2 linked regions of the Drosophila melanogaster genome follow. The protein of the gene in region 1 interacts with the protein of each later gene in a biochemical or structural test. Each region holds a gene or a part of one and is shown in the gene's direction. Other genes may lie near its edges.

Region 1 (12,681 bases):
TTCATGCCACATAATGGTTAAACGACATCAGAAGAGCAACACGCAAAGCGTTTATTTTTTCTGAAATTCCAGGCACGCAAGGACAAGCAGCACACACTCAAAATTGTAAGGGAAAACTTGCAATTTATCCATCCGAGTTGCCTCCTGTCACCGGCACCAAGTTGTCCCACTCCTGCCTGGCCGATAACTCAATAGCGTAGCCCGGGGAGCATTGGCATAACTAAACTAATTTCTTTTAATTCAAACACAGCAACTCCGGCCCAACGGCTCTGTTGGACACTGATGGCCAAATGGCTGGGTGTGAAACTTTTATGTCGCCCCCTGCATGGACCTCCGCCCAGGTGGTCTTACCCACCTCCGGGCTCCTGCTTCCCATTGCCCAGTGCCCATTGCCCAATCCATTTCTCCCTGGCGGCAGCCCTGACCGACATTCGATGAATTGACCAACGCAGCTTGTTATTTTTCGTGTGCAACAGCGCGTTTTATTCGCTCCTGGAGGTTATGTGCCCCTCACCCCGTGGCATCTAGATTCAAATCAGAGATGGCACTTACCTATCCTAAGAAATCTTAAAAAAAAAGGTGAGCCAGCTTATTGTAAGCTACCGATTACCATCATTTACAATCAAATTATGAAACTGTCAATGATTTACCCTAATAAACATAAACAATTTTTATTAAGCCATTTAACTAATGGCTAGATTCGCGGAGTTTCATGGGTGATGTAGACATCCAAAACATGTAACATAAATTGGATTTGTCCTGTCTTTCCTGTATATTTATTGGTATTATTCAAGTTTGGTTTTCCTAGTAATAATCTTACAAACACAGGTTCTCTTTGGCATCACTAAGTGGTGGTGGCTTCCAAAGCCGAGTACAGTTCGCCTTTCTTTTATTTCTGGTCAAAACTTTTGCACTGTTTTCACCAGATTCCGCATTCGGGTAGTTGGACAGCTGACGTCTGTTTTTCACCTGCCAGGACCGCCCCACTCGGGCTCAGAATCGGATCCTCTATTTGTTTGCGTATGGGAATCGCCGGTGTCTGTCCATCTGTCTGTGTCAGTGTTTGTGTGCTCGTGAGTTTTGCGAGCAGGTGTGCGTGAGCTTTCGCTGACAATTGTGATTTTAGCAAAGGGTTTTAATTAGATTTCACTTCATTTTCCGCTGTCATTCAGTGAAAAGGAAAGCTTCTGCCTTCCGCAAAATCTATTCAATAATGTGAGCTTACCCATTGAGTGCACACTGCATCCAAACTCTTCTTACATTTTTGGAGTTCAGAGTGTCTAGAACCTGGCTTAAATAACAACATAAGTATGTATTTTCCTTATAATTGTATTTATATATAAATAAGTTTATGTTTTTGCTATTTTATTTGGGACAGTATAGTATCCCAACTTTTTCCGTCTTCATTTTGGTATTTTAAATTCACATTAAGCAGGCTTTTTGTTAGGATTTGAAATTCCGTGAATGGGAGTTGAGCAAATTTTTCAGTGGATTTTCTTGCCGATAACATTTTTATATATTGCGTATATATCTGCGTTGAAGACTGCATTAGTTGTAGTTAAAACTACAAATTAAGGGACGCTTTGAAAAAGGATATAATAATTGCACGTACCCAACTAAAAGATCGAACAAACCCATAGATAGATCGATATATACGATATTTTATCTAAGCCTTCATTGAGATTTGTGTTAGATGATTTGAAAACACTGGAAGTGCTCGTTGTGTACCGAGTTAGTTTCCGTTTTGAAGTTCACAGTTAATTGGATATTGGTTAATTTGGAGGAATGAATTCAAGATGAATTCATTACCAATACTGCAATCAGTGGACCAAAATTTATCGTGCAAGGCAGCAGGAATAAGTAAAATGGAAAACACTAAACCAAATGATAAGAAACTGGCACAATCAAAGTTCGCATTCAAACATAACGGGCCAAAAAAAGTGTTTCACTGCACGATGCAGAGTGTTTTGCAATCCGAAGATTGCTGGATCGCTGAGGAAGTTCTAGAAGAATCAAACGAGAAAAGCAATCTGGAACTCGAAGATATTTACGATGAGGTGTTTCGCTTAAAGCGGCGCGTAAATCGACTCAATTACCAACTAGGTACCAATATACCGGAATGCCCAAAAATAGATCCCTGCCTGGATGATCATATATTTTTGACAAATGTAAAGGAAGTTCATCCCGAAATTCTTCAGCTGAAGTTTGCAAGCCATAAACTACAGCACCAACTGACTCAGATGCAATCCGTCCGAAGATCATCCAATCTGGCCAAAAAACTGGTACGGGATGAATACTGCAGAAGCAAGAAATTAGGGGATCAGTTGCAGATTGAAATTCAAAAACTAGACTCCTTTAAGCTCAAATTCGAAAAACATCAAGGACTATGTCTTCAACGGTTTAGGTTCTTGGACCAAGATAAGTATACTGGCAGGGAGTTCTATGAATTTATAGAAAAAAGTAATGAGATGATAACAACTCAACTTAAAAAGCAGATGTTAAAGAGTGAATACAAACCTTTTCGGAAGGAAGCCGCTAGGGTGACAATCTCTTTAAAAACAGCCGCGGAAAATTTGCAAGATTATCTTTCAAGCGTGATAAATAACAAAAAATGTGAAATCTTCCAGAACGTGAAAAATTCCTGTGTATCCATTCGTTCAGACCTTTAATACTTTTATATTTTTTCGAACTCCGATTCGGCTTACTTCAAGGCGGCACCACGAGCCGCCCAAGCTCTTGTATCACCGGCACACAGACCTACTTAGCTCGTCCACAATAAACCCACAAAGCCCTCTTTAAATTGTTCAATTTGTCAGGATCCACGGGCCGGCCCTCCATATGCGAATTCCTTGATTATGTTGGTCATCGGAGGAGTCGCATCCACGGGACGGCATCTGCCACAAATGGTGGTACCCTAATGTACATTTGACTAGGAAGAGCATGTATTTTCTTACATGCGATGTGTTTCGGCATCCTGTAGGCCAAAAAAGAAAAATAATATAAAAATGTTATAATTTCTATATGTATATACATATATGTATATATATTTTGTACGCAACTGATATATGTAAGAAATTGTATCTATTACGTTTTAAATATATTTACATTAAATATCATTTCTTTCAATACTTTTTTTGCATTCTTACTACTTATTAAGGGTGAACTGTCCTCTTTAATTTGGGTCCATTTTTAAAAGAGCATCCCAATTCTGACGCCCAGGGTCAGGATTTTCTTTTGTCGCTTTCGGTTTTGGTGTTTGTATCTTTGGGTCCAACAACGAAATGTATTTAGCATAAAAATTTACGATAATGAGGACCAGAACAGCAGAGACACAGCGAGCGAGCATCGCCACCATGAGAAAAAAAGCACAAGCAGACAGCGCATCAAATTTCGCATAGGCAAATAGACAAATAACTGTGGTTTACCTCCCCTGGGAGGGGGGGGGGGTTGGTTGTTTAGGTGCTACGGGGGGCGGTTTGGGTTTAGTGTTCCACCAACATTTGTGGCCAGTTTCCAACGAGATGTGGTGCCACAGGTTCTCCGCAGTCAAGTGTCATTGCTCCGCTAATGTGCAAAGTTAAATTAATATTTACCACGAGGCTGTTGTTGCGCCTTGATTTCTTCGGTGGCATTTCGAAAATTGACGAATTTCAGTGCGGTCTAACCAGCATCAAAGTCAACTGCGCTGCTTTTTGGCAGAATACGCTTGTTTTCCGTCAGATTAGCAAAGTTTTTGCAGTCATTTATTTAAACTTTTCGTTTGACGCGGCTGGTATCGTACATAAGTTGGATTCAAAGTGGGGCAGAACGCGAATTTGATAACGCGCTAATCGCATTTGGACTGCTGGCTGTACGGCAATCGGAACATAAACCTGACTTTTCCGTAAATACGGAATGCTGCAAGTGCATCCCTGACACTTGGCTGCTTTGTGCTCCAAATAAGTTTCCTTTTGCGGGAATTATGCTGCATACTTCACAGCGAGTGCCGGTGCAAAAATGAAAATAAATGCAAAGTTATCCCGAGCACTTCGGGCTGGCATTTACATTCTGCATTGGCATTGCTATTGCCATTGCCATTTTATTTCGTCAGTCGCATTGAAGTCCATGAATGGAAGGTGTGTGCCAACTAATGCGTGGCTGCCGGAGAGATGCCTTCGCATGCAGGGGCGCACCCAGGTCGTTTGAACAGGGGTGCTTAGGAACACCTTAGGACATCTTTTCTTTCAGTTCTTTGATTTTTGTATCTTAACCAACCGCATTTCTGTGCTCAGACTATAAGTTTGGCTAAATTATATTAATGCTTATTGATTTAGAGCTTAAATTAGCTTACCTATACCAATTTCGTATTTTTCGCATAGTTCTAGGCTAAGAGATGTTTATGCATAACGCTTTTTTCAATATGAATTTCACAATATACGTTTTTAACCTCGCTATAACCATGATATGCACCCCCGAAAGTACGGCTATCTACGCCCTTGCGTGTATGAGAAATCGCAGTGCAGATGGCTTACGCGACTGTCTCTTCCTCCCGTCTTTTGCGTCTATAAATTATTCATTCCGTTTGAGATGTTTGATGTGCCTCTAAGAAGCATGATGTCCTCACACAAACCCACTCACACATCGCCCATCGGTTTGTTGCAGTTTTTGCACTCTTCTTCCGTCTCTCTCGTTGCATAGTTCCTGTTCCCCAGCCTTTTTACCCAGATTTCATTGAATTCATTCATTTTTTAGCTGCCTTCGCCGCACATCCTGGCTTGTTATTGTTGGTGTTTGCCACAGCTTTGCATAAATAAGATAAACACAAGGATGAGCACAGTGGGCGGGCGGCAGGATCCCATGTTCCTCCCTTCCCTGGTCGGATATCCTGGGTTCTGGGAGTACTGAGTCCGCCACCGTCTCGAGTCGTTGCTGTGATTTATTTTGCACTCAATGTTTGCCAAAGTAAAATTGATTGAAGCGTTTGTTGGCGCTTCAATTGATTTTCAGTACAGTACGTATACGAATACGTATGTTGCAGCACCCCTCCCGATTCCCATTCCCTTTCTTCCCCCGATCAGTCCATTTTTGCACCTTATTCTCTGCTCGTGGCCAGCGAAGCATTTCAAGTGCCCGGGCACTTGAGTCCCGGCTTGTTTACAGTGGTTAAATTAACTTTGGTCAATTTGGTTTTTGTCGAGTGGTCGGACATTGCATTGAGACGGAGTCGCTTGGACCTTACATTCACCAATCTTATTCGTAACAATGCTTTGTAGGCATAAAGCCTTTACTTAATACGGGAATTCATTCGAGGTTTTTTGAAGGGTGTTCCAATCGGGGCTGTCTTTCCATTGAGATATACATATATATTTATAATATAAAAATATAAAATTATTTTATAACAATTAATTAACGATATTATTAAATAATATTGCTCCAGCAAATATTTGCTGGCCTGTGTTTGGTTAATAGTCGAATAATCGGTTGCCCCTCAAAAATGTCACAGGCAAGAATTGCAACCATTCATCAAATGTCGTCCTGTGATTTTATTAACCGACGCTGATGGTGATTGAGGCACATCGGAGCCATCAACACCTGCAGACGGCAGTCGATCATCAGGGGCCCATCCCCTATTCCTAGCCACTTAACACCCACCATTTCCGCATCCCACTAACCAATTCCCCAGCAATCACCACCAACTGCAGTCGCATAAATCTTGGGCTGTCAAGTGCAAACAGAAGGGGAGAAACCATCAAAGATGGAGCTAACAAATTACTGACAGCAAAACAAAAAAGAAACAATAAAAACAAAAGGAAAGCGCTAAATAAGACAGTGGAGATGTAAAAAAGGGGATATATAATGGCAATAATAATTATGCAGAATATACCAAATATGCGAAGTATAAAAATAAACACGCAACGCAAATGTATGCCACTCATTTTTATGAATGAGCATTTATCATAATTAAAAATTCTGCCGGCACCGGGAAAGGTTCTTCCATCACACCCATACCCTCACCCACTTCGGAGGCCGACGTTTCTGACCTAAGACACGCCAAGCGCCGCACACATATAGCCAGAAATCGAGAAGTATCGTGAGAGTGCGTCAGAGCAAGCCGACAACAAGGAGGACAGCTTTTTTGGGTCTTCTCCGGCAGCGGAACAGCTGTTGCTGTTTGTTTTTGGGACATATCCATGGGAAAAAGTAAGGCACTGGAAGAGCCAGTGGGCCAGTTGGCCGGTTGGTGAATACCCCACTGCGCATGTCCGCCGGCAGTCGCACCCAAAGGACTCTCTTCCAAAGAGAGTTCGAGTCTCTTAGACCGCCGTTTTCCGAGCTAGCTGGCTCGGCTTTTCCCGCGAGTTGGCCGAGCTTTTGCGGGGTTGTCGTGACTGCTGAAATTACCCGTCGCCACTTCGAATGCCGTTGTCGTGGGCTTCAGTTGTGCTTACCGCTCAGTGTGTACCGTTGCTGTCAGTGAGAGTGACCCAAAACTGTGACTGTGACTTAAGCCGTGACTCTAGTGCGTCGGTGGTGCGTCTCGGTGGCGTATGCTTGATGTGATGTGTGGTGCCCTGGCGTATGCTTGATTTGTAATACGCGACCCGGGCGACGTTCTCGCAGTGCATCCTCAAGGATACCAACAGAAGTAACAACAAAACCATCATTGAATTGTGCGTCTCATTTGAAGTTAATCCATAGATATTCTCACACGCACTCGCTGGTGTGTGGTGCGGTGGCTGTGAGGTAGTGAGGTTCGGCCTGTGTGTGTGTGTGTATAATGCGTATGTAATCCAGACAAATCTGTCACGTGTTTTGGATATCTTTTTCTGAGGCCGCCAGTCCGGGTATTTATTGAAAAATTGCACATAGGTGAGTCAACTCCAAATCCCCGCTGCATATGGAAAATAAAATAGTACCCTCTCACGCTGAAAACTAAAATAGTTAAGCAGCTTATGGGCCATGAGGACAGAGCTATGCGGATGATGGGCCAATAACCATAGCCCTTTCCAAATATGGATAAATAAACAAAGATTGGTTATTTAGGGGGGCTAACAACCTTTATCAGCAGATTATTTAATACAATTAGTCTCCTATTTATAAACAATATTATGAATTGGGCTTATAAATAAATTGAATTTAATAAAAATAGGATTTGGTTTGATTGGGTTTTATTCTTCTTAATTGACTACAGATTTTAAAAGCAAATTTACTTCTTTGAAAATAAGCATCATCTTCAAGTGACAGGTGTTTGTTTTTGAATTGTTTGTACAGAATTGTTTAGAATAGTTAATTGTTATTGCATGAATTACTGGGTTCTATTTTTAACTCCTTTTCTTTAAATTCAAAATTATAATAAAATTGTTGTCAGGCCTTTCAATAGTTAAGCACAAATGTTAGAGAATTAACAAATGTTTCGAAAGGCTTAGACCGTAAGGATCATTAAATAAAAGTGAAAGGATAACATTCACATTACATTACCCAAAGATTTATGATTATTTTTGCCTGTATTGAGACTTTGGCCATAAATTAAATAGCTAATGGTCACCCCAGTGGATTTCTTAGCCATTTAACCTTTATGCCCAAATTAAATGACAGAATTTGATTAGACCTATACACGCAACCGGCTTTGGGTGCCTTCTCATCCGGCTGAGTGTATAATAAATGAGAGGTCCTCGGGGCTGTGGTATCATCCCCAGGTGGAAAAGTTTGGCAACTCCCCCGCTCGCTCAATTGTTTATTTAACAGCAATGAAAAAATCATTACGCATTTCATATCCGAACTTCAAAAGGTGAAATTCCCATGAAAAATTATATAAATAAGTTGAAAAGTTTTTAATGCATATCAAATAAAAGAAACATGAGTAGGATGGCCGGAATGCGACTAAAAATCAAATGTTGATTTAAAATGCAAAGTAAAATGACAGCAAGGAGAACAAAGAGTGAGCAGGACTTGCTGTCCTGTACGCAATTTGTCCACGTATTATAATTTTCCCCATTTTTTGCATTCTCTTACACCGCTGCTGGTTGCCCTTGTCCTTGCCCTACTCTCGACCAAGTTAATGTCATTTGCATTCGCCCATATACCCACTTTCCACACGTACATATATTTTTCAACTTTTCACTGGCCATATTTTCTGGTTTGCCGCTCGCCGAGCTGGTCTCGCTTCAAGTTCATTGTGCATTAATAATTTAGTTGTCGTTTCGCCTCCAATGCGAATTCGAGTCGACACCCAGGAAAACTTGTTGGTCGCTTGCCTTTTGCCCTTTGCCCTTTTTGCCCGCTTGTAATTTGATTTTGTTTCCCTATTTTCGGTTGTACTCCGCTGGTCAGCAGCCTCGATGGGAATTGTGGCTCTCCCTATCAGGTCGGTATCATTTGCATGACTGCCTTTTAAATTCGGTCCACTCGTCCTCTGTCTGCGGGACTCGAAAATAGGTTGTCTGATTAAATAAACTTGGCCATCTGTTAATAAAGATTCTTTGTGAGTGGCCAAATAGGTATGAAAATGTGCTCGGAAAGTACATACAACAGGGTGAAAATTGGATCCAATTAAATTGCATGGAACCTATTATTAGATTCAATATCGTTACCTCGATAGTTTAGACTTCAATTCTCTGATTACAAGGGTTATTTAAGGGTTTCTCTTAATTCAAATTATCCTTGTTTTCTGAAAATACAACTTTTATATTATACAGTAATATTTATCTTATTTTACAATTATTTCTATGACACAAACATAATTTTAAATTTGTTATTGATATGTTTGGCAATATGTTTTTCTAAAATTCTCGCGCCAATTTTAGGCCAATCGGCTTTTTTTTCATTAGTTTCCTGTCTCTGAAATATGACAAATCTGAAATCCATTAAGGTTCCATGAACTTTTTAGCTACAACAGCTCATTTGCCGTGCACTTAAAAGGATAGAAAAAAGGGACTAGAAGTGGCAGACGCGACTTGTGAATTTGTTGCTATGAAAAATGATATTAAATCGCTTTTTTCATTATTTTTCCGGTAAAATCGCGTTCTCCATCTTGTCAGACAGTTGTCTCAGCCAGCCCAGTGAAATCCCAGTAGCTAGAGCAAGCCCAAAACCCAAACCCACAACCTCGAGGCTCGTCTGTCGACGTTCCATTTTCAGTGGCGCGTTGCGTTTTGTCCTTTTCAGGGATTTGGACTGGAACTGCAAGAGGCAGGACACAAAGAAAAGTTCACAGAGGAGCGGGGAAATTCTCGTGGAGGCAGATAGAGCAAGTTGAAAATTCAGAATAATGAGGAAACTAACGAGCCAAGACTTTCTCATTGTTTACTGGCGCAAAAATTGCGCGATTATTAATTTTCTATGCTATTTTGTAGCTCTTTTTGCGGCCCCGCTCTGCGCCACTTCATCCCCTCCGTTCACCCTGCCACTGGCACAGCAGAGTTTTCTATATTTTCCTCGTTTTTAATATTTCGCAATATTCGCCACGTTTTCTTCGCTCTTTTTTGGAGCGTGCAACTAATGGAAAAGGGCGAAGTGTTGGCCCAAAAGAGTTCAGTCAAGAGCCGAGCCAAGTTTTCCGCGGAGTTCATTGCTTTCGCCCACATGTTGTGTATACGCCACTTTAACTGACACATTTTCGCCTTGTTTTACCCCAACCGCCTTTTGAAGGTTTGTTTTTCTTCGCCGCTCGCCATGTTTGTTATTTTATTCAACGCTTCTGCTGGGAAAACGCTGCCCGCCTTGAATGCTAATGAAAAGGCTGGAATTAGAGTTCCCCTCTCTTGCCAAGTTTGCCAAAAAAGGGGAGGGAAGGTGGAGAGTAGTCCTTTGAGCTGTTTCCAGAAATATGAAAAGTTTCAGTAGAGTTGATAATTTCTTACTTCTTGGTAGTTTCTACTAACCTGTCCAACACTAGTTAACCTGCCAAATATACCAAAATTAAATACTGTTCTTTGCTTTCTTTGGCATTTGTTATTATAGTTGAATAATTGCCTCGTACAAAAACTTAAATAAAAGGGGACGCACTTTTTTATTATTTCTATTACAGTGTAAGCTAGAAAAGCAAATAAGAAAGCATTTTCGCTCGCTCTAACACAGATTTATTTATTTCTCTCCTTTTTAGGTAAGCATTTGCAGGTAAGCATTTGGTCGGAAAACGCAGTCGGGTTTCAAAAGGCTCATTGACATGTGGGTAAATAAATTTTTAATTTAAAATAAACAGTGTGTATTAAATTACGAGTGTCCCTAACGGAAGGGCGGCCTGATGAGCTCGACGGGCAATATCCGCTACGAAGGACACACACAAAATATGCAAACTGGCATCAAATCCAATTAGTTAATATGAATATTTGATGAAATCACTTCCGTTCCAAATGCTGCAAAAAAGGCCGACCATCCAGTGTCCCCAATGCCTTTCATCATCATCGCCATGACGATAATGATTCGAAAGTTTTTCACAGCGCCCGTGTTGGGTAACAACTTTTTCCGAATTTAAAACTTTAACGCATTCCCAAATGCAAGTCATCGAGTTGGGCGCTCGTTTCGCTTGAAATTATTCGTCTTTTTTGAGCTTTTGTGTTGTACCCACAATAACCACAATTTGCAACTTTTTGCGGCACTTTGTCAGTGCGAAAAACGTCAAAATGTTTGCGGGTCTGAAATTTATTTAAATATTTCATTTGTCACACATTTAGTACTGGCTAGGCTACTTGGCATATGTGACATTGATTAATATTCAAATTTAAGGGTTTCAATTAGCCGCGATACTTTAGTCTTTCGAGTTCAGCGTTTTTTTTTCATCGTATTTGATTTCACCAAATGAAATCCAAAAAAAAAACGTCTATTCCAAGGCTTGTGCCAAATTGAATTTTTAATTTTCCATCGGGGCTTTCCTTTGCTCCTTTTGTTTCGTTATATTGTGTTTCTTTTTCCCTATATTTTTTTGGCCATGTTTGGTTGTTTAACTTTTCGAAGCGGCTTCTTGTTGGCTTTTTGTTTGGGCCACACATGTATGCAGCCATTTTGGCATACAATTTTAACGAGGTGCGGTTGTTGCTTCCATATATCCTGCAAAACGGACTCGTGGCCTCTCTGCTTTGTTGCAAAAAATGTCACGCATTGTTTAATATTAATTTCATTTTCCGTACGCTCCAACACCGCGCAGCCGAATATTCGTTTTCAAGCTGTTGCCTTTGTTTTAATTTGCGGACCAGATCCCGGCCGGAATCCAAACAAATTTTATTTCAATATATGTGGGTTTTGGCGTAATTTATTTATTCGCATTTCTTGTTTGCAAGTCAAGAGCCCGGCTCGCCTCATTATGTTTTTTGAGAGCTTGTAAATTTAATTCAAATTACTCTTTCAATACCCATATTACGAAAAAGAGAATATTTTAAATTATTTAAATCATGTTTAGATTAGCCATGAATTCTGCTAGCCACATTTTGCTCTGATTGCGGAAAATATGCGTCATTTAATTTTTCACATTAATTACCCATCCTCATTTGTCCGTCGTCGCACTGAAATTCTCTCAGGCATAAAAAGTTGCAGCATATTTAACTGTCGAACCAAACTGAAAATTAGTTGAGCGCATTAAATGACAACAAAAACTATTTTAATTAAACACATGAAGCCAGGAAGTGCTGCTAAATGGGCCACGGTAAAATGGTCACATCACCGAATCCCTGACAAATGAAACCTGAAAAATTAGCAAAAGTTGTGGCAAAAGCGAGCCAATTGGAAAGTGGTAGCTCAAAAAAACTGAGCCAAGTAAAAGGAATTTCTAGCTCACACACACCGAGTGTATAATGTGGGCCACAAAGAATAATGCACATTGCCCACGAAAAAAGAAAGGACAAGAATTTGCTATTTTTTACCATTTGTTAGAGCCACAGCCAGACAATATATCACCATTAAACAAATTATGTACTCTGCTCGACGAAAATTTTAAATGTCTCTCGCTGTCCATTGTATCTGCACAGCATAAAGTAGCAAAAAGTTGTGGAATACCCTCCCCACGTTAGGGCGGGAAAAACAATCGTTCAAATGTATAAAAAAAGTTGTTGCACAGTGGGTAAATCGGAATTCTCGAAAATATTTCAGAAGAAACTTTTTCTGTGTTTATGCGATGCACTTCTAACGTAATATGTTTCATGATAGCCCGCTTTTTACGAACTCTATAATTGGTCAAATCAAACTCTATAATTTCGGTGGCTTCGCCGTCCAAAGAGAAAAACAAACTAGACAAATATTTAATTCATTAAAATTTAACTTGCCGGCATTTGAAAATAATCTTCTTTACCACTTTTTACAAATACAAATGAATTATAAAATAAATTAAATGGCTTTGCTCACTTATTTGGCTTAAAACCATCCGATTTGACCTATACTAGCAGAGTTACCAGATTTGGCAGTAACAATTTTATAGGCATCTCTATCTGCTAAGACCGTACAATATGAGAATGAATTTTGAGATAATAATTCACGCTTTCTAGAATGGTTAGAATAATGTATTGAATAAGTTATCGTCCTAGCATACTATTAATATAATTCGAGTAGCCTTAATTTCGTGGTTAAAACATCTTTAAGATAATTACATGGAATTTAAATCAGCTTAAATGACCATATTTGTAATTATAGCGCATTATTTGAGCTGAACAGGACAGGAAGTGTAGTTCACTGTGGCGCAAAGCAGGCCACACGGAGTTCATTAGCTCCTTGGAA
Region 2 (12,681 bases), on another chromosome or scaffold:
CCTTTTGGAAAAGTTCTCGTAACGTTCGACCGTTTCACTCTTCCCAGTAAACTAACGGTTTCCTGGCACACAGTTAAGGTGTCAGAATATATACCCAACCCGATGAGATGTAAGTCTTGTCAATTATTAGGACACACATCAAAGCACTGCAAAAACCCACCTGCCTGTGTATCATGCAATCTCGCTCCCCACCTTCCCGTGCCATGCACTCGCATTTTCTGTGCAAACTGCACCGGCCAACATCCAGCCTCCTCACCCGAATGCCCACAATACCAAACACAAAAACAACTGCTCCACATCAAAACAAGCAAAAAATGCAGTTTCCATGAAGCTCGCACTATACTAAAACAACAACAAAACACAACAAATAACCCCACGCTTACCTACTCGACCGTCGCAAACCAAAGCACATCATCCGTGATGCTTGTCAAAAAACCCCGAAACCCTAACACGATTACAAACACCGACTTGCCCACCAGCTCGACAAAAGTACCAGCTCCGCTCTCACCAACGTATCCCACTTCTCGGACGAACTCTTTGAATCTCGAAGAGAATCTTACTTCCTCCCCAAGCACCTCTGACAAAACTGATTTCTCTTACCTAAAAAAAACATGCATCGAACGATCTCGCTCCCTTAGGGCGGAAGCAAACGCTCTATTAGGACAAACCTACAACGACGACAACAATACGTTAATGACCTCAAGATCCAACTCAAACGAATCAATTGCTTCACAAACCTCAAATCTACAAACAAAAATCAACACAACAGACTCAGACACTATGGACGATCCCGATTCCTAGTCCTGATCCTCTCACCCTTACCTTCATATACACACACCACAAATTAATAACAGTCCAACAAAAAACAATAAATAAAAAAAAAAAAATTTTTAATCATGACAATTACTATATTACAATGGAACATCCACGGCATTTTTAATAATTACAACGAACTGACACTACTCATAAAAGACCATGCACCCGATATTGTATTTTTGCAGGAAACCAACCTTCCATGTAATTCTACAAATTTTATTTGCCCCAAAGAATATAGTGGTTACTTCCACAATTTTTCTTATAACACCTCAGCCAAACAAGGCATTGGTGTTCTTATTAAAAGGAATGTCCCACATACATACCGTAACATTAACTCCAGCATACTCTGCTCCGCACTGCAGCTTAATTTTGAACAGGTCATTAATATTGTTAATGCGTACATCCCACCAAGTCAAATTTTTTCATCTTCTGACATATCAGAAATTCTTCAAAATCTTAACGGATCCACAATACTCCTGGGTGATCTTAACTCATGGAGTCCTTTATGGGGTTCACCTCGCACAAATACAAGGGGTAAAAAAATTGAAACCGTAATTCTTGAAAACAGCCTAATTGTTCTTAACGACGGTTCCCCGACTCACCTTTCAACTCACAATACGTTCACCCACATTGATATCTCACTGATATCTCCACAGATAGCCCATATGTGCAGCTGGTCTATATCAGATAATCTCCATGGAAGTGACCACTTTCCCATAACCATCCACATAAACACACCTACCCGTCCCGATAACACTTTACCCCTGCCTAAATACAAGACAGACCAAGCGAACTGGAAACGCTTTAACGAAAGTTGCGAAAAATCAGCAGCATATTGGACGGTCGGTTGCCTAAATCAGCAAGTCGCACAAATGACGAAAGTCATACGTTCAGCTGCAAACTATAGCATTCCCCAAACGAAAAGGGTGATCCACAAAGCCAAGGTGCCATGGTGGAACGCTATCCTTCAACAGCTTAGGGACCAAAAGCAACGCTTGTTCTCGTCCTACAAAGCCAATACGAATGATACAAACCTTATCCGATACAAAAAAGCAAACGCGCTTTTCAAAAAAGCTGTACTTTCGGCCAAGCGTAACTCCCTTGAAAAATTTACTTCCAAAATCTCCCCAGTATCCTCCACAAAAAAGGTCTGGTCAGATATAAAACGCCTAGCCGGCATCCCTCCCACTCCGTTCAAATATATCAAATCCAACTCGGGTACCCTAACTGGATCATTTGATATCGCCGAAGAGTTTGCCTTATCTTGGTCTAAATACTCTTCTGACCAAAATTTTTCAGCAGAATATATACGAGTAAAAAATCGGTATCTTTCAGAGCCCTATGCCATCGACTCACTTTCCCCATCGGCTACATCCTTAGATTCCAATTTCACATTGCTCGAAATAGAAAATTCAGTAGCAAAAGCAAAAGGGAAAAGCCCTGGGGCTGACAGAGTATCATACCCTATGCTCAAAAACCTATCTCCCCACCTAAAAACAAAACTTTTAGACATTTTTAATCAAATATTAACCACTGGAAAATACCCACATACATGGAGATCGGCTATCATTATCCCTATATCAAAACCTAACAAACCCCCTTCCGATATTAACAGCTACCGTCCAATCTCTCTGTTATCCTGTCTGGGAAAAACACTAGAAAAAATAATAGCACAAAGACTTACCTGGTTCATTAAACGCCACAACCTAATTTCCCATAATCAAGTTGCCTTTAAAAGTAATCATAGCACGATGGACGCGTTATTGCGTATCCAACACTTCGCGTCGAACGCTCTTTCGACCAAAAATCACGTCTCTATCTTGGCGACGGATTTTGAAAGAGCCTTCGATCGCGTGGGGATTCACGCCGTACTTTGCAGACTCGAGCGCTGGGGCATTGGTCCTAGGCTTTATAACCTTATTAAAGCCTTCATGACCAATCGGTCCTTCAGGGTTCGAATAAACAATGTCACATCGAACTCCCACATTTTACACAATGGAATCCCGCAGGGTTCGCCACTTTCGGTGGTTTTATTTATGATAGCTATTGAAGACATAAATGACATTGTAACTCGGCATAAAGATATTTACATCTCACTATACGCAGACGACGCAATAATCTTTACTAAAATAAAAAATATTAACACAGTTAGAGAAAAATTCTTAGAAATATTGCAAGAAATTAACTCGTGGGGAGCAACCTCTGGGGCCTCTCTTGCCATTGAAAAATGCCAAACTTTACATATCTGTCGGAAACAACGTTGCAACCTTTCCGACATTGTCTTTAACAGCCGCACAATAAAAGATGTAAATTTTTTAAAAATCTTGGGGATAACCTTCGACTCCAAACTACTTTTTAAACAGCACTGTCAGACTCTAAGAAAACAACTGGAAACTAGATTTAACATTATTAAATTTCTATCATCTAAATATTCTTACATACATATTAAGACTCTCATAGATATTACGCGCGCTTTAATGCTATCTAAAATTGACTACGGACTGCCAATCTTCGGTTGGTGTGCTAAATCACACTTAAAAAAGCTACAAGTCCCATATCACGGAGCGGTCCGTCGCGCCATTCACGCATTTCCCACATCTCCAGTAGCGTGCACATTGGCAGAATCGGGTCTCCCGAGTATCCAATCACGCGTAGAAGAAACTACATTGATGCTTATCCCGAAGCTGTACACCACGTCAAACTGCCTGCTAACCAAAGACTTCGGAGCCATATTTAAACAAAAACGGAAATTCAAGTGCATATCCACCCTAAGACGTTGCGCCAACTACATCAAGCTACTTGACCTTCCCCTGCCTAAGCCCAGGAGGCCCTTCAAATCGCCAGCACTTTGGGGTTCCAAACAGCCTAACATAAACCTTCAAATATACAATGCTGCCAAAAAGGATACAGGTCGCCTAGAATACCAAAAACGTTTTATGAGCGCACAAGAAGATCTTGGTGTGAAAAACTGGATCTACACCGATGGTTCTAAAGTCACCGGCGCAACTACTTTTGCGGTCGTTGACTCTAACCGTAAAATAATTGCAGGAGGTAGGCTTCCGTCCTACAACTCCATATTTACAGCCGAAGCTTTCGCCATTCTCAAAGCATGCCAATTCGCTTCCAAAAACGCTGGAAAATCTGTTATCTGCACAGACAGCCTCTCCTCTCTTTCCGCTATACGCAACTGGAACCATAATGACCCCACAACACAAGAAGTTAGGCACATTCTAAGTTCTCACCCAAAAAAAATCACCTTACTCTGGGTTCCCAGTCATCAAGGTATTCATGGGAATGAACTTGCTGACAAAGCCGCCCAAGAGATGAGGCTTACACCATCAATCCTGTTCACTCCGTTTAACTCCAAGGACCTAAAAAGTCGAATCAAGTTATACCTCAAAGAAAGGAAACTCTCCGAATGGGCACTCTTCATGCACAGGTACCAGTCTATCAATCCGAATTGCATCATGTTCAAGCCACCAACGAACGTACATAAACGGGAATGCGCGACCTTTATCCGTCTACGCATCGGGCACACCCAATCCACACATCAACACTTACTGACGAGATCGGCGCGACCAACATGCCAACTATGCGGGGACGAGCTCACCGTTGACCATATTCTCAACGCCTGCAGTCAATTGCACTCAATTAGATCTCACTTATTTGGTACACATAGTCTCTCGAATTGTTTAAGTATCCCATCCTGTGAAAATATCTCAAAAATTTACAAATTTGTCCAAAAAGCTAAGTTTATTATATAAAGCAATTAACCCATAAGTCTCGAGTCGAAGGCCCCCGTAGCTAGTACTCATTAAATTTAATTAGGTTTAGTATTGTATACTATATTTAATTTTGTTAAATAAATAAATAAAATAAGATGATGTGCTCAAAACAAGTTTTGTTACCTAACCTAGCTAAGAAACAATGCAATCTGGAGTCGTTGACAAGTATGTATGTAACAGAAGCAGAAGGAAGTGTATAAAAACTAGTGACTAGTCTTACAAGTTATCTTCAAACGTTATAGTTACAGTTGTCGTTAATGTCTAGCTAAAATGTTCCTATTTTTTCAACAACAAAAACTGCCTTAATCGAACTATTGCAACCTATGTAAAGTAAATTAAGTAAAAGTTAAGTCTATTGAGACTTCTGCTTGCTTCCACCTTTCCATCTCCCTTGCACAGTCCTTAGGTGATTAATAAATATCCGATAGTCGCATTCATTAAAATCTTTTTTTGGAAATTTAATTAATATGTTTTAAAAAGTGATCAAGCAAAATAAAGATATATTTTCTAACGTTCGATTTATTTTCAATATGCTTTCGTCTTTCTTTGACTTTTCCTAATTTTTTGCACAAGGTAAGGCTTAAAATATCGTCAAAAGTCGGCTGATATAAATTCTATATGTATTCCAAAACAGCTAACAATGTTATATCCCATTTGAAAAATGATGAAAGCGAACAACCGAAAAACTAGCTCTTGGTAAAACATACAGCCTTTTATATTTCAGCAATTGGTTTCTGTATAACTTTAACTCGTTTTTCTTTTCTTTTAGAATGTTTTTCAACCAATAATAATCAACTGGGCAAAACTAACCACTTATGCAGATCTCTGCGTTTTAAGTTAAGGCAATTGCTCTAGTAAATTTACCAGCTTCTAAATGTTGCTGGCAACATGTTGCCAGAGGACAAGCACTGACGCCTTCGTCCGCCACACGAGCTCGTCCTTCGGAAGCATTTCGGCTGGCCTCGGGATGGCAGGCACGGGACACGGGACTCCACAGTGCCAGGACATCGGAAGTCGGGAAATTGGGAAATCGGGATGGCCGTGCTGCCGAAGGACGAGCACATTGCGCTGGGTCGGCCCAATGCGAAACGCGCTTGGTGCGACAGGTTCAGTGCTCGGGCAACTTCCTAGCGCGTCGGTTCAGTTCAGTCCAGTGGATTCGAGACACGAAAGGACTCAGTTTCAAACTAAAAATTCCAAAGTTTCGAAAACGGGTTTCGAGTGGCGCGAAACAACAACGATACAATGATACAATTACTCTAGCTGAAAGTCGAGAGAAGAGTTTTTGACAAGTGTTAGTTGATTATTTTCAAGTTTTTTTTTAGTGTTGGCCAGTGCTTTGGACTAGTTTCGAAGCTTTGCTTGTTTTTTCGAACAAGGTAATTCTAAGACCCAAAAATTCAAAAGTTTTTCGCGAAGCATACGATGTGAGCTGTGACTGCGTATTTAGAAATTACTACACTAGTGAGGTGAAGCCAATCCCTCGTTTAGTCCTTTACTCCATTGCCCGTCGATCGCTGCCTAAATCATTTCACATACGCTTGTTCACTCATTTGTCAATTGCATTATCGGTGGTATGTTAGCATTCCCTTTCTTTTCTCAGCCTTTCAACCAATTGTTACACCAATCGAGTTGTTTTCTTGCGAATTCTCTCGACTGTTCATGAGTGAATTCCTTTTCAGTTCATTGAATTTCTATGTCCTTTCCGTTTTCTAACATTAACTTTCTTTGTTTGCATTTATGTGAGTCACTCGTCACTCGTTGGAATCCTTTATTCTCGTTTCTTGTTTTCAGTAAATAAAACAGTTGATTTGCCAAGTTGCAAATTAACTTTTGCCAGTTTTTTTTCCCAAAAACAACTATCTTTATACCTTCGTGTGGGGAAAATGTAGTCACCTTTTATGGTCAAAATCATATCGTACATTTTGTCGCATACTAACGATTTGATAAATTGTTTAACATAATTATAAAACTGTCAGCTTGTGTTCTTTTCGTTTTTAATTGTTTGTAATTATATATTTTATATAATATGATAGCATACATTACACATTGCAAAAATTAAGTAAGGTTTTCAATATCTTTTTTAGTGGTTTGTAAGACGATCCGAATTCAATTTTATTTTAAATCCGGTATCCATGTATTGCTTTGAACCCTTTTTGTGTTTCTGATTTCCTTCAAGAACTTTCACCCACCTGAACTTTAAAACCCCATTCAATCTCTCGCTCATCCCTCGCCATCCGCCACCAGTTTGGCACATTCTTGAGGTACCTTTTCTGGAAGACTCCTCCGAAACTTTTTGCCATCGAACAAAAGGCGCCAAAATGAGACTGCAGCATCCAACTAGCAGGCCAAGTTTTTAGTTGGCAATGATTTATGTTTTATTAATATTAAAAGTGATTTATTAGCCATGAAATTTGTGAGCCAACTTGGTCGTTGGCCCTTATTCGACCAGGTGAAGGGAGTGCTGGCTGCATGCGCGATTTTTTAATTACAGATGGAGTGGGACAGGGAGTACTGTCCAGCTGCAGGCTCCATTATCCTTAAGCGCGGACCTGGCCGCTCATTATCCCGACGTCCGAACTTAAGCTAAACTGCTGCACAGCGAGATTAAAATTGTAAATGACAGCCAGCGTGACAGGACAAGGAAGGAGCAGGCATCTGCTCGTCCTTTAATGTCCTGCGCCGTCCAGCCACGCCCCTCTGCGCCCCTCTGCGACCCTGTTCGCAACCATCCGCTCCCCACCCACCAGCCGTCGCATTTTGTCGTGTTTTTAATGAAAATTAATTAATTAAATAACGTTTTTACTCATTCGCATCGCCTTGCCCAGCAATTGTCTTCCCTTGTGCGCAGGTGTGCGTGTGAGGATGCATTTTATATTAAATAATGAAGTGTGTAAAATGTATGCAGTGGCACACAAAAAGAGCAAAGAGGCAAATGAAAGGGCTTTATGCGGCAAATGTAAATTTGGACCTTTTTGGGCACAGGAAATCTCAAGCTTCAAAGTGCACAGAGAAAATTGTAAACGCAATTTTCCAAAATCTTTATTAATGGTTTTTTTTTGGGAAACTTTACTTTGGGAACGTAATTAATTTTATTATTGGTCTCGAATAATCAAAATTTATGTGCAACATTTTGTCATTATATTTGGGAACCCTTTTTGCAAAATGTATACAATGCATACTTCCGAAATACCTAATTTTTTTTGTTTGCCTGTCGAGAAATTCCCCGAAACTTCCCAAAGCCATTGCCAAATTTTGGCATCTCGGTCAACACAAAAAAAGTCATGCACTTCAGTTAGCATTAATTTGAAATTTGACTGAGACTCATCTCGATTCCATCTGGTTAACCGGAACCAAGGCAAGAAGCTTCGCGACTCCTTGTCCGCCGTGTCTAGTGGTTAATCAACTAATATCTTATAAAATCCGAATGGAATCCATCCGAATTCATAATAGAAAAGGGATCTTTGGTTTTGTGCTGCGTCTGGGAGATTGGAAATATTTCTCGATCTTTGTACTGAGCACAGAGGAATTGTGTGCGAGTTCTGCGCCTATGGAACTATTTGTATTGGTCTGAACTGACCCTGAACTGGCTCACATTGGAACCGAAATATATGATGATCTCCAAATTTAATTATCAGAAATGAATTTGAAACACTTCCACATATAAACTCAGTTACTTAGAGTAAACGTAGTCACTTAAAAGAACCTGAGTACTTAATTATAAATTTAAAAAAGGTTTTAAAATATTATTTTTCTAATTATCTTGCAAGCCCCTACAGAACGCCAAAGACATTTTTGCTTGGCGCCCATAAGCCTAGAACCTGTCTGCTTTTCAGATTCAGGCTTTAAATCTTGTTGAAGGTGGAGGGGAATATTTCATTATCACTATCCATTCACATGCCAAAAATTGTTTGCATCCACTCATTACAATGTTACCGTCAAAATAATGTATGCCACATCCTCCATTTACCTAGCCCTTAGGGGTATAATTAAAAATGAGTTCTAATTGAAACTGTAGTTTGCCCTCATAATACATTTACTTTTCAAGCTACTTTGTCTCCGATTCTGACGAACCTTTTGAGACTTTAAAAGGATATTTAAATGTCGGCTTATTGGGTCTAAGCGAAACAAGTTATGTACATATGAATAGATAAGTAGGTAGGTTATGTAACCAAACAATCGAAGCCCAGTGATAACAATAAATTCGAGTAAAATTTACTGCGACACTCCAAGTCGGATGCACTCTGCATTGTGTCCGGAATTGCGAAGCTCCGATTTCCATGTCGAAAGGAGCAAACTGACTGACGACGGGCTGCCTAGGGCATTTAATCGGCGCTATTTGGAAATAGGATATGTCCGAGCCATCCGAGTGCTGACTGATGATGCGGGCATCAAAGTGCAACAGAAGGGAACATGAATTTTGGGAAAAGTGACTGTTCATGTTACCTGCAATTAGTTGGCAGGCGTTCAAATCAAATCTACATTAAATTATGGAATCATATTTCCCAAAATTTTGGTTTCAGAACCCCCTCTTTTTGATTCAAAATGAAATTTCGAACAATAATTATTATGGGGAAAATCGGCAACAAAAGACATTGTCGAACAAAGGACGACAATGGCCACCGCGAACCGAAAATTAAACGAAATTTCGCAAGCATTATTTTCTGGTCCAGACCCGGTTCCGCTGCCCAATTCGCCCCGAATCCTGTTGGAAATAACCCCATTCGCTTGTTTCATTTTTTTTTTTCTGTTTTTGTTTTTGTTTTCCGGCGAAGGCAAACGCAGCAGAGAATGGCTCCTGCATATAATGCAAAATGTCAGCGAATAAATCAGGCTGCGATACATATTTAACCCCAAGATTGATCGAGACCCCACTGAAGATATATGTATGTTTGGTGGAGTGAAGGAAAAAAGTTCTTAAAGCAGCTTGATTTCCGTTTTTGTGTGCTAATAAATGACGTGTCACAGAGAAGCGGAAACAAACACAATTAAAAACGCATCAGTGGCGAATGGTTACACATGTGAGAGTTGGCGCTAGGGCAGCAAATGGTTAAGGACGAGGTTTGGATGGCCAACAAAGCAAACCACAACCAACCAGCACTTGCACATTAACAAAAGGCAAACAACGGCGGCAGCAGCAACATAATAAAAGAAATATTTTCCATACATTAAAAGAAAATTGCACAAACAATTGAGAGGAAATGCCGGAGCGCGACGGTTTCAGTTGCTTTAAGTGAAAAAAAAAATAAAATAATAATGCCACTGCAACAAAACCGAGAAATGGCAATGGCAAAAGCTTTTCCCCAACAGACCACGCTGCGAATGCGTAATGTAGTTGAGCAGGAACAGAATGCATAGAAAAGCGAGGGCAATTTGACAACAGAAATTAGCCAGCAAGACAACAGGTAAATAGCAAAGGGAGTTGGTGGAGAAGCCAAGAAGGGGGCAAATGCATTCTGGGAAATACAAAAAAAAAACTATAGCTGTTGCAGGAAAATTGAAAAGATCAACTGCGCACGTACAATAGAATAAAATAATGAGAAGTATATCTGGTCTGCACGCGAAAAACAAAAATATTATTGAAATTTACAAAAGTAATTGGCCATTATAAAAGTAAAGATGAGCACTCGAGTAAATCGTTTATAGGCAAACTATAGAACTTTTTCGAAATAAATAGAAATTTTGTCTTTAAATGCATTCTGCAAAATGCTCAATTGGCATTTATAAATAAGTATGTATAAATAATAACATGCCTAAATTGAAGATTACAGTACGGAATATCGTCTGTATCGAGAAAATATGTCTGAAAAACGCTCCCATAGGTACTGATTTTTAAAAATAAATATCTGTTCAATTCATATTCGTAAAATATTACTCTTAGTCCTAGTGTGAAAACTATAAAACAGCATTTTTGATGGATTTTTTAATCGAATATTAAATTTAAATAAGGCGTAGCTCAATTGTTACTAAGGCTGTACCTACGGGTTAATTATGACTTGAAAGCATAAAATCAAGTATGTTCCTCCTTATGCCACAAACCAAAACTTTTGATCTAAATTGGTTTCAAAATAAGTCTACTAAATGATAATGACAATAATAATAAAACATTTTTAAGTCAAAATAGTGCATGAAGTACGATAAAGGATGAGTATAATTTCTTATTTTTTTACTGACACCTTAATTAAAAAGATTGAAAGTTACCTATTTAGTCCGAATTCATATTCAATTTCCGTACTGTTGAGAAACGGAAGAGAGAATGCTATGGTCGAGTTCCCCGACTATCAGATACCCGTTACTTATCTAGTTTGAGAAGGGCAACGCGAAATTTTTCTAGTATTTCGATATCAAATAAGACAAAATTTAAAAATTGTTGAAAAATGGGTTAGAATGGGTATGGCAAAAATTTGTTTTCCAAATCAAAAAATGTCAATACATTTTTCAAAAGTGTGGGCGTGGCAATTTTGTGCGGTTTGAAGGATTTATAGTGGACGTGGCAACATTGGTAGAACAATCTTGCGGTGAGATCTCTACGTTCATACGGACAGACAGACATGGCTAGATCGACTCGGATATTGATCCTGATCAAGAATGTATATATATATATATTGTATATTAAATATTATATAGTTGGAAACGCTTCCTTCTGCCTGTTACATACTTTTCAATGAATCTAGTATACCCTTTTACTCTACGAGTAACGTATGCACTCACGAATTGCTACTTTTCATGCGAAAAAAGGAAAAACGTGAAAAGTGTATTGCATAAACACAAGATGTATCGATGTATCTAGGCTCCCTTCTCCGCTTTACACAATTTCAACACCCATTTAAGCTATTTTCGAAAGTCTTGCATGCCACCTTCCCCCGCATATTTCGCATGTGTAGCTGCAATAAGCAAGCTGATCATTTACACAATATTTGCATCGGGCAAAAATCAAATAGAGCACAGAGTGCTGTGTGTGTGTGTGGGGGGGGGGGGTGTACTTGGCGGTAGGCCACTTGAATTTTGATTAGATTCGCTCGCAAAAATGTCGACACAAATATTCAGTTGAATATCAACAATAAAGGCCGAAACAAGAAAGCGAACAACTTAATGCATGGCAGCAGTGCCATATATTAAGTGTAATAAATATACAGACGTGCGTGTGCAGGTATCAACATACATATGCGAGTATTTTTGGCCTGATTAAAGTACCTTCCTCAAGTATGGGCCTAAGCCGAATTTAGCTTGTGGCTTCCCAGTAAATTGAGTAAGTATGAGCCCTTTGGCAGTTATGGCTTGCCAAAGATATTTCACACTTGATGGCAAATATTTGCAGACATCGAGGCACAGCTTAGCTTTGGCCATAATTAAAGTCGATTTAATCGAAATTAATATTGAAACTTAGGGGCTCTTTAAAAAGACAAAGAAGAGTATAATGTTGATTAACTGGGGGGCCATGAAAGGCATTTTCGCATTGATTGATTCGCACAGTCGGTGGGTATTTATTGCAAAACGGGGACTCAAATCAAATGGCCATTTCCATTTGCTTTTGGCAAACAACAAAGGGGCCCCAACAATTCTACAGCGGTGTTTATAAATAATATGGAGTAAATTCTACAGGCAATTGCAAGTTCATTGCTTTTGTTGTAAATCTGCTGTTGTTGCCGCCTGGCATTGCCAACTGGCCACGAAATTTAATTAAAACGATTTTCCATTGGCAAACAAACTGCGGTGTGGTGCAAAAGCGAAATTCCTCCCCATATCCCAAACCATTTTTGTCTCGCGGTGCTCGTTTTGTCATTAATTTAAAAATTTGTCTGAACCCTTTTCAACTGACAAAATCGGGACATGCAGGAACACGCCCCCACTACGCCCACCTCGCACAGGCCGCACCAACGCACACACACTGACAAAAAAGTATATTCAAATAAGTACTTTGATTGGTTCTGAGAAAAATTCCTTTCCCTGATGAACGCTTTCACATTGCTGAATATAAGCAATTCGCCAACTTTTAACATTACTTTTAATATCGCAATAGACAAATCCCTTGGCAGTACAAGAAATAACATCTTCTAAATCTAAATCTTTTATTTTAGAT

Evidence for each region.
Region 2: the proteins of dpr11 (region 1) and DIP-beta form a complex in vitro, tested with the Drosophila melanogaster proteins (one study listed by BioGRID).

What each region holds. Positions count from the first base shown.
Region 1 is NT_033777.3:6,587,052-6,599,732, reverse strand, and holds the start of dpr11 (defective proboscis extension response 11), read left to right. Parts: upstream 1-6,402; 5' UTR 6,403-6,849; intron 6,850-12,681. Other genes in the region: CG1138 (uncharacterized protein), read left to right, coding at 1,797-2,669.
Region 2 is NC_004354.4:21,450,765-21,463,445, reverse strand, and holds the start of DIP-beta (Dpr-interacting protein beta), read left to right. Parts: upstream 1-5,707; 5' UTR 5,708-5,895; exon of another isoform or gene 5,896-5,980; intron 5,981-12,681.